2 linked regions of the Sus scrofa genome follow. Each later gene encodes a partner of the first gene's protein in a complex. Links are inferred from orthologs where the notes say so. Each region holds a gene or a part of one and is shown on either strand. Other genes may lie near its edges.

Region 1 (4,366 bases):
TACATATATATCTCCAATCAAGTCCAATCAGGATAAAGCTCAAACCTCTTAGCATTGCCCAATATGATCTGATCTTTGTCTACTTCTTTGCAATCCCATCTCTCACTGCTCTCTGGACAACCTACATCAGCTGCACTGTGGGATCACTTCCTTAACTTCCTCTTCATCTAAATAACTCATCACTCTTCAGTCCTCAGAATAAGATCCTCACCTTCTGGCTAGGAGATTATCTTTGACCTTCAAACTAGATCAGGCACATCTGACGTCTTATCCTAACTATCTGTCTCATATACTGGAACATCCATTACCCTTTATTATATTTACCTCTGCCATTGTCTACCTCTTCTGATAGATTTTAGGGTCTGAAAACAGACCAAGTTACCTTTGTTCACCACTGTATGTCAAAGACGGGTGTAAAGCCAGTAAGACTAAGGGCTCTCCACCCAGAGACTGAGAATTAAAACTGAGGACAGCTGTGACTTTCTTTGTAACTTTCTTTATATCTAGAGACTGAAGCTTCAGGTAAAAGATTAAACCTCCTTAACGACCAAGGCAATTCCAATTAAACCCAAGGAAAGCAAACAGGTGGAGTCTCTCGCCGCTTCCCATGCTGAGTGACTGCTTGTCAGGGGTTCTCACACCACCAATCGCCACGGGGAAAATGGGGCCCCATTCCCCGACTAGTGGCCTTGATGGCTCAGCAAGGGGACCTCAGCGTTCAGAGTGATGCATACAAGACCAGAAAATGGGGGGCTGTAGTCCCTGGGTCCTCGGAGACCAAGAAGAGCTTTGGGCCAAGGCGAAGGACAAAGAGCTTTATTTCCCCACGTACCAAGCGAGGTGGCGCTGCCTCTGTGCGGTCCCGCCCGCCCCGAGACGCAGCCTGACGAGGACGGCGGGACCCTGAACTGCACGGGAGCGTCCTTGGAATCGAGGACGCGCCTCTGCCTGCTGGGGAAGCTCCGGGCGTCCGAGGCGGCCGGCGGAGAAGTTGCAGCGGCGCCCCAGCGGGGTCGCTTGGTGCAGGGCTCACAGCCGGGGCCCGCACTCATGCTGGGACCCGCAGCGAACAGTCCCCGGGCCAGCCAGGGCGGAGAGCCTCATTCACTAACCCGGAGAGGGACGGACTGCGCCTCCTTCTCGGCGCCTCCCGGCACCATGCCCTCTCTGCTGCTGCCTGCGTCTGCAGCTGCTGTTCCGTAGGCCTCCCGAGCCAGGCCCTATCCAGTCGCCTGCCTTCCCTCTTCCACAGGCACCCCACCTGCCTCAGGATGCGCCGCTTTGATTTTCTTGCTCCGTTCACTTTCCCACCACCGGAAAGCTGCCGTCAGGCGCTTCCGGTTTCCGGGACGTACGCTGTCGCAAAGCGGAAATGTGAGGTTTAGGTGCTGCCGGCGCCCGGAAGGTCAGCGTGTGAAGGAGGTGGTGGTAACGCGGGTTTCACCCGCTGTTACAGAGGAGCAACGGCCGAGCGGACGATCCCGGCCTGAGCAGCGGGGAGAAGCAGACCGGTAGTTTGCTGCAGTACCATGGAGGGCGGTGGAGGAAGCGGCAACAAAACCACAGGGGGATTGGCCGGCTTTTTCGGAGCCGGCGGAGCTGGCTACTCGCACGCGGATCTGGCGGGAGTCCCGCGTAAGTATCGGGCCTAGCTTACGAACATTTCTGACTGGTTCTTGCCACCACGCCAAACCTGCGGCGTGCCCTGTCCTTTTTTTGCTAGCGGTCACAAGCTTCAGTAGCAATCGTGGGGTTGGTGTATCTCCGGGGCCGCTCTTTCGACATCGAACGAATTTTTGGAGCCATAGATCCGGAGAAGGTTTCTGTGGTTGTCCTGGATCATGTCAACCAGGAGATGCTGCATGTTTTCTTCCTTTTATATTCAAGCTTTCTGCCTTCTCTTTCCTCTCGCACATTCCTGTATATTGGGCCTTGTGCTTGGCTCTAGGTGAAAAAGAAAACCCCCTTCTGCAAGTAAATGCATTCCAAATACCGAGTTCATAGATAACTTTTTAGCTCAAAGTCGCATATTCTAAAACCACAAGTAGCCGTCAGGGCCACTCATGCATACAGGGGAGAAAGAAACATGATTCGAGACAACTAGGGGAACACGGAAGAGAGCTGAATTTTAAAGGTAATTTATAGACAAGAAAGAAGCCAATATGAATTTTAGGAAGGGAAATACGTACAATCGAGGGTGCTGGAAGCACGAATGCCCTGCCTGTGCGCTCCTCAGTACAAAGAATGTGTATTCTAGATCTTTGAAATTATCTAACTGGGTATTCAACTGGATGACTAGAACTTGGACCTAAAAATAGGAAGTTGGTGGAGGATAAGCGTTTTATAAAACTATTTTCTCTTTTAAGAATTTTCGTACTACTTCTTTAGGTCTTTTATGCTCAGAAACCAAAAAAGCTTTTTTTTTTTTAAACACGCTTAGAAGTTCCTAGTGTGACCTGTATCAAAACTGAATTTAGGGCGTAGTTTGTATATGATAACTTATAGAACAGAACTGTAGGGAGTTTGTGTATAATAAGTCACAGGAGCTCCGCATTTGGAGCACAAAGGGCTCTGCTTTAATGTGAAAAACCATTGTTACATTAATTGAAATTTGAAGGTAAATTAAAAGATGGAGTCAATACCATTTATTGAGTACTGTAGATGGATTTTTCTGGGTGCAGAACTAAGACAGTTAAATTTAAAAAGATGATTGCTGTTTTTGTGGACCTTACATCCTATTGAAGTGAGCCAGGTAACAAAAATGTTTCAGTGACACACTTATCACTAAGTGTCTGAAGGCAATAAAGCAGGATCTTGAGATGGTAGGAACTGGAAGCCTTTTAAGAACAGATCAGGGAAAGCAACTCAGGGGTGCTGGCTTTTGAGCTGTGACCTGAATACAGTACAAATGTGGGGAAGGGTAAGTGTTGAAGGAAACAAACCATTAAGCCGTTGTGTCTACACAATGGTGTAGAAGGTGGTGTGATAGAAGATAATGAGATTTAGAAGGGCAAGGAATGGCAGCCAATGTGCTGTTTATTAAGCCTTTTAAGGAGTCTAGTTAGGTAGGAGATGGTTAGGATGTGAGCCTTAGTGCTTAGATCAGGATGGTAGCAATAAAGATGGTAAGGAACACAGTTCGGGATAGGTATTGTTTATACAACTAATAAGACTTGCAGTCGATTCTGGATAATGAGTAGAGTCCTGGGTAATGGGTAGATTTGTGAACAATCAGCTGAGATGCAGGAGGATCCAAAGTTTAAATTTTAAACATGAGAAAGTTGATTTTCCCTGATTTGTCTATCTTCAAAGTTAGTGGAATTCAAGTCTGGGCCTCTCAGAGGTCCCATTTTCTTTTGCCATGACCCCCATCCCTGTGGTGAAGACCTACGAATTCTGTATCCTGTAAATCAGTCCTGTCAGCAACTGTCAACACGAAGATCTGAAGGAACTGCCTTTAAATATTTATACAGAGCGTATGAGGCAAATGATGTTTTTCTTATGAAATTGGTTTCTTGTCAATCTTATTTTACACCCTGTATAGTTGTTGAACATTTTTGCAGTAAAGTAGAAAGAAATAGTTTTATAATTGACCTGGCCTTTGCTTCCCGCTACTTTGATTATTTGATCCATGTTACTGCCAATATGAGAACCTGAGACACAAGTGCAAAATTAAGGGCCCCAAGAGAGGCAGCCCATAAACTACCAGACAGGGAGGATAAGACTAGGAAAGTGGGAGAAAAATTTACATTCATTGGACTTATAACTCAAAACTGCAAAACATGTGAATAATCGAGAGCAGAATTAACACTAAATGAAATAACTTTTAAAATTTTTATTGCCATGTAATGTTTTGTTTTCTCTCTAGTAACTGGTATGAATCCTCTGTCTCCTTATTTAAATGTGGATCCACGATATCTTGTGCAGGTAAGATTTAGACTAGTCCTTTTATGATTTTCCTAGATTGGTCCTTTAACTATGCATTTAAAAAAATAACCCCAAGTACTTAACGTTTACTTCTGTACCTGGTGCCTCTGGAGACACCAAGTCTCTGGTCTCCATTCACCTTTTTTTCCTTATAAACTCAGGGGATTTGGTTTGCCTCTCTTCCTGACACTACTTGATTAAAGGATTTGGGGGGTTTGTCTTTTTTTTTCCATTTTTTAAAATTGTGATAAGATACACTAGCAAAATTTGCCACCTTTAACTGTATGGTGGTATTTAATGAATTCCTAATAGTGTACAACCATTATCACCTACCACCGCCATGCTTTCATCTTATAAAACTGAAACGCTATACCTATTAAAACAGTAATTCCTTTTTCCGTCCCCCCACCTCCTGGCACCCACTCTTCTGCTTTCTGTG
Region 2 (4,576 bases), on another chromosome or scaffold:
CACCTCCTTCAGTCCCCTGGTGGAGCTGTTTTCCACAAAGCAATACTTAGAGGACCTGGGTCTCTGGGGGTCCAGTGCCATCTCATCCTTGGCCCAGAACACCCACTTTCACCAAATAAGCCCTGAAGCATTGGATTACCAGCTCCACTCCACTCCCCCAGACTCAGGGTCAGTTCACTCTCGGGGACCCCAGTCCTTTTGTCTATGAGTCTTGTTGTCATTCCTTTATGTCACTGACCATTCAGCTCTTTTCTTCTAAGATGGAAGGGCTACTTCCAAGGGTGGGGTGACAGCTTTCTCCTCCAGCCAAAGGCTAAGTCCGAGGCCTCCTTGCCCAGCCCCAAAGAACTAGTTTTCAACCCGTCGAGCCACCATGGGAACTCCCTGAAGTGTTTTTAATTACATTCACACATTCCAAATAAGTAAGCCCTCCTGGACGCAGGCATCCAAGTCAGAGGACTGGTTTGAATTGTTGTTTTCACACTTCCAGACTAGCTTTATTTAGTTCTGTGGAGGGTTCAGTTCATTTCACCTTATTTCCAAGATTTGGGGGGGGGAACCTCATTCCCCCTGCAGTTTGCTATTATTTATTACAGAAACTTTTCCATGAAATAAATGTACACACATGTTTTGTTTCGTTGAGGATTTTTTTTTTTTTTTTTTTTTGTCTTTTTAGGGCCACACCCATGGCATATGGAGGTTCCCAGGCTAGGGATCCAATCGGAGCTGTAGCCACCAGCCTATGCCAGAGCCACAGCAACACAGGATCCGAGCCGTATCTGTGACCTACACCACAGCTCAGGGCAACGCCAGATCCTTAACCCACTGAGCGAGGCCAGGGATTGAACCTGCAACCTCTTGGTTACTAGTCGGGTTCTTTAACCACTGAGCCACCAGAGGAACTCTGGACATTTTAAAGTCAATCTCAGATGTTCAGGATGGAGACCTATAGCAGCTGTCACCTGACTGAGGTTTTGCTTTCAGGCCGATGGCCCCCAGCCTTTTGTCTCCTCCTCTGGGCTAAGCCCCCCTTACATCTCCCGGGATCATTTAGAGTGAGGTCCGGAAGAACTCTGTTGTTGCTGTCCCCCATGTTAAGGTCCCCCATGAATCACGGCAGCGCCCCAGGTGTTCACAAACATTCATGGAACGTTCACTACATTCCGGCCCCCCCGAGATAAAATATTCAGGTACTGCCCATCTTAAGGAGCTCCGTGGCAGCAGTGGGGGCCTTACCGACCCGTCGAAGTTGGCAGCAGTAATTCGCACTTGACAGCCGGGTACTAAAACAGAGAAAGTCATTCGGGAGGTTCGAGTTACAACGGCAGTTTTGTTTCGGGCCCCACCAGGCCCCGCAGCTTCAGCTCTGGGTACCTCTCCTCACCTGGGATTCCCCACGCGGCCACCCACACGCACCGCCCCTCCGCCTCGGAGGCCCGCCCCTCTGGTCTGAGCCCCGCCTTCCGCCCCGCGGCCCCGGCTTTCATTGGCTGCGGGAGGAGGTGGCGAGCCAATCCCCGCAGATTCTAACGCCCTCCTCCCGGGATCACTTCCGCCGCCGGGCCAGGCCCCGCCCCGTTTACCCGGCATCGCGGCGCCGCGGAGTCAAGATGGAGGAATACGCGCGCGAGCCCTGGTGAGCCTTCTCGCCGAGCTGCCTGCCTCCCGGCCCGGCTCGGCCCAGCCTGGCTCCCGAGGCGAGACCGCTCAGCGCCAGGCTCGGCGGCGCCGGGGCTATAGGCACGCAGGCGTGAGCGGCCGGCTTCTCAGCCGGTGACCTTGCGGCGACTCGAGGGCGCCCCGGCTCAGCTGTGCAGACGCGGCCCCTGTCCGACCTGCGGGTGGGAAGCAGCCCCTCTGCCCTCCGGCGACCTTGGCTCGTCCTTGTGCCCGCGTGGCTCAGCCTGCGTGGGGAGGGAGCCAGGCCGAGGAGGCCGCTTGGGGGCGAGGGCCGGGCTGGGGACTCTCCCGTGGGGGCGAGGCGTGTGTTCTCGAAAAGCCACCGACGGGAGTCGGTCCATTCGATGTTTTGGGGCAGGGGGCTGCCTGTGCTCCGCAGTCGCTCGGTCCTCAGAAGGAAAGCATGGAGGAGTCCGACCTGCAAAGTTTGAGGCTTCTGGGGTCAGGAGTGAAAATAGAACGTGTTACTTGGGTTAATCACCGGTGCTTTCCATCTGTCGGAAGGGGCCAGGGCTTTCTGTAACGAATCGTGCCAGCAAAAGCCATGTTGCCTGCTTTGTGCTTTTTTTTCCTCCCTGAACTGAGATACAGAGTATTACTTTGCAGAGCCTCCCAGTTCTTTAAATTTCCCTTCTCCAAAGGTGATACCCCTTCCTGGGTTGTACTCAGGTGTGCAGGACTCAGCATACTATACTGCTCATGTCAGGTATGATAGGGCACAAGTTGGCAGGAGGGGAAGTTGTTTCACTTGGTTGTTAGAGGTGTTAGGGAGTGATAGTTGTCATCTACAAACGCATTTAATGGCCCCTTTGTGCTCTCTTACTCCGGATGTTCTGAAGCCGCATGGTCAGTTCAGTTCTCAGGTTGGCTTTGTCCTCAACTGCTTTGATCTTCTGGAAGACCCTGGTCCCTAAGGTCATCCAGGCTCAAACTACAAGCATCTTGCCCTCCCTGCACACCACCCCACCCAGCCCCCTTGCTGTCGTCGGAATTCTTTGAGGACTTGCGCTTTCAGTTCCTGTAGTCAGGACCTTACCTCTGTCCTTAATGCCTTTTACAGAAGCTTCTTTATTGTTTTCCTTCTGTCCTCTTCCTTAAATGTATGATAGGTACTTAATGGTCCTAAATACTTTCTTTTTTTTTTTTTTTGTCTTTTTGTCTTTTCTAGTGCTGCACCCGAAGCATACGGAAGTTCCCAGGCTAGGGGTCCAATCGGAGCCAATCGGAGCCGTAGCTGCTGCCTACGCCACAGCCACCCTAAATACTTTTTAATCATGTTTTCTTTTCAAAAGCCCTTAGTCTATAGGATGTAGTGGAAAGAATTTGGGGGCTTTGGAGTACTAGATTTTGTATTTAAATTGGTTCTACTAGGTTTTTTTTTTGTTTGGTTGGTTTTTTTTTTTTGTTTTTTAGGGTCGCACCCATGGCATATGGAGGTTCCCAGGCAAGGGGTCAAATTGGAGCTACAGCTGCCTGCCTACGCCACAACAATTCGGGATCCGAACCATGTCTGTGACCTACACCACAGCTCATGGCAACACCGGATCCCTAACCCACTGAGTGAGGCCAGGGATGGAACCCCTAGTTGGATTTGTTTCTGCTGGGCCATGACAGGAACGACTAGGTTTTTTGTTGTTGTTGTTTGTTTGTTTTTTGGGATTTTTTGGGGGTTTTTTTTTGGTCTTTTTAGGGCTGAACCTGCAGCATATGGAAGTTCCCAGGCTAGGGGTCGAATTGGAGCTGCAGCTGCCGGCCCACACCTCAGCTCACGGCAACACCAGATCCTTAACCCTCTGAGCAAGGCCAGGGATTGAACCCACATCCTCATGGATACTAGTTGGGTTTGTTAACCAGTGAGCCACGACGGGAACTCCTAGGTATTTTTTATTTGACCTTGGGCAAGTTACCTAATCTCTGAGTCCCTGTTCATCTGTAAAATGGAGAGGAGACAAATACTCTTTTGCAAAGTTAAAAGATAGGGATTCTATAAGAAAATAATCTAGCTTTCTTGAAAGTCCGAAAGGTACCTACAGTGTAGTTGATGACTTTTAATCTTGGTATGATTGGTTATTGGTTCTTGTTGCCCTGTATTTGCCTAGCATTTGCTTTTTTTTTCTTCCAGTTTTCTTTTTTTGGCATTTTTGTCTTTCCTAAGGCCGCATCTGAGGCATGTGGAGGTTCCCAGGCTAGGGGTCCAATCGGAGCTACAGCTGCGCACCTACACAGCAGCCACAGCAACACCAGATCTGAGCTGCGTCTGTGACCTACACCACAGCTCACGGCAACACCGGATCCTTGACCCACTGAGCAAGGCCAGGGATCGAACCTGCAACCTCATGGTTCCTAGTCGGATTCGTTAACCACTAAGCCATGACGGGAACTTCCTAGCATTTGCTTTTAGAATCTGGCTTCACCCTTCCTTTGGTGTAGACCATCAGTTCCCTGCAGGCACATTTGGATTTAGCCAGGCTTTGTTCAGAAACTTTCCGTCTTGCCTTTGTTTGGGACATCCTGTCCGAATACTGTGGCTGCTCTGATCTGAATCCTTTTTTTTTTTTTTTTTTTTTAATGGCCTCACCTGAGGCCTATGGACGTTCCTGGGCCAGGGATTGAATCTGAGCTGTAGTTGTGTCAATGCTGGGTCCTTAACCCACTGCACAGGGCAGGGTATCAAACCAGCACCACTGAGACAATGCTGAATCCTTAAGCTGCTGTGCCACAGCAGGAATTCCTGGCTCCTGCTAGTCTTCATTTCTTAAATGCTGATTTATTTCTGTTCTGATTAGAGGATCATTTAGGTTAGATTGTTTAAAGTTAGTGACTCTCCTCTGTCTTTCCGCCCTTTTTTTTTTTTTTGTCTTTTTGCCATTTCTTGGGCAGCTCCCGGGGCATATGG

The links.
Region 2: mitochondrial import inner membrane translocase subunit Tim23 (region 1) and TIMM17A share a complex: the UniProt entries of both Homo sapiens proteins name them as parts of the TIM23 complex. The link is inferred for Sus scrofa from reciprocal best matches to the Homo sapiens genes TIMM23 and TIMM17A.

Annotation. Positions count from the first base shown.
Region 1 is NC_010456.5:90,479,667-90,484,032, forward strand, and holds the start of mitochondrial import inner membrane translocase subunit Tim23, read left to right. Parts: upstream 1-1,288; 5' UTR 1,289-1,529; coding exon 1,530-1,635; intron 1,636-3,868; coding exon 3,869-3,927; intron 3,928-4,366. Other genes in the region: PARG (poly(ADP-ribose) glycohydrolase), read right to left, coding at 833-1,052. UniProt on the Homo sapiens protein: Essential component of the TIM23 complex, a complex that mediates the translocation of transit peptide-containing proteins across the mitochondrial inner membrane.
Region 2 is NC_010452.4:24,198,790-24,203,365, forward strand, and holds the start of TIMM17A (mitochondrial import inner membrane translocase subunit Tim17-A), read left to right. Parts: upstream 1-1,555; 5' UTR 1,556-1,610; coding exon 1,611-1,636; intron 1,637-4,576. UniProt on the Homo sapiens protein: Essential component of the TIM23 complex, a complex that mediates the translocation of transit peptide-containing proteins across the mitochondrial inner membrane.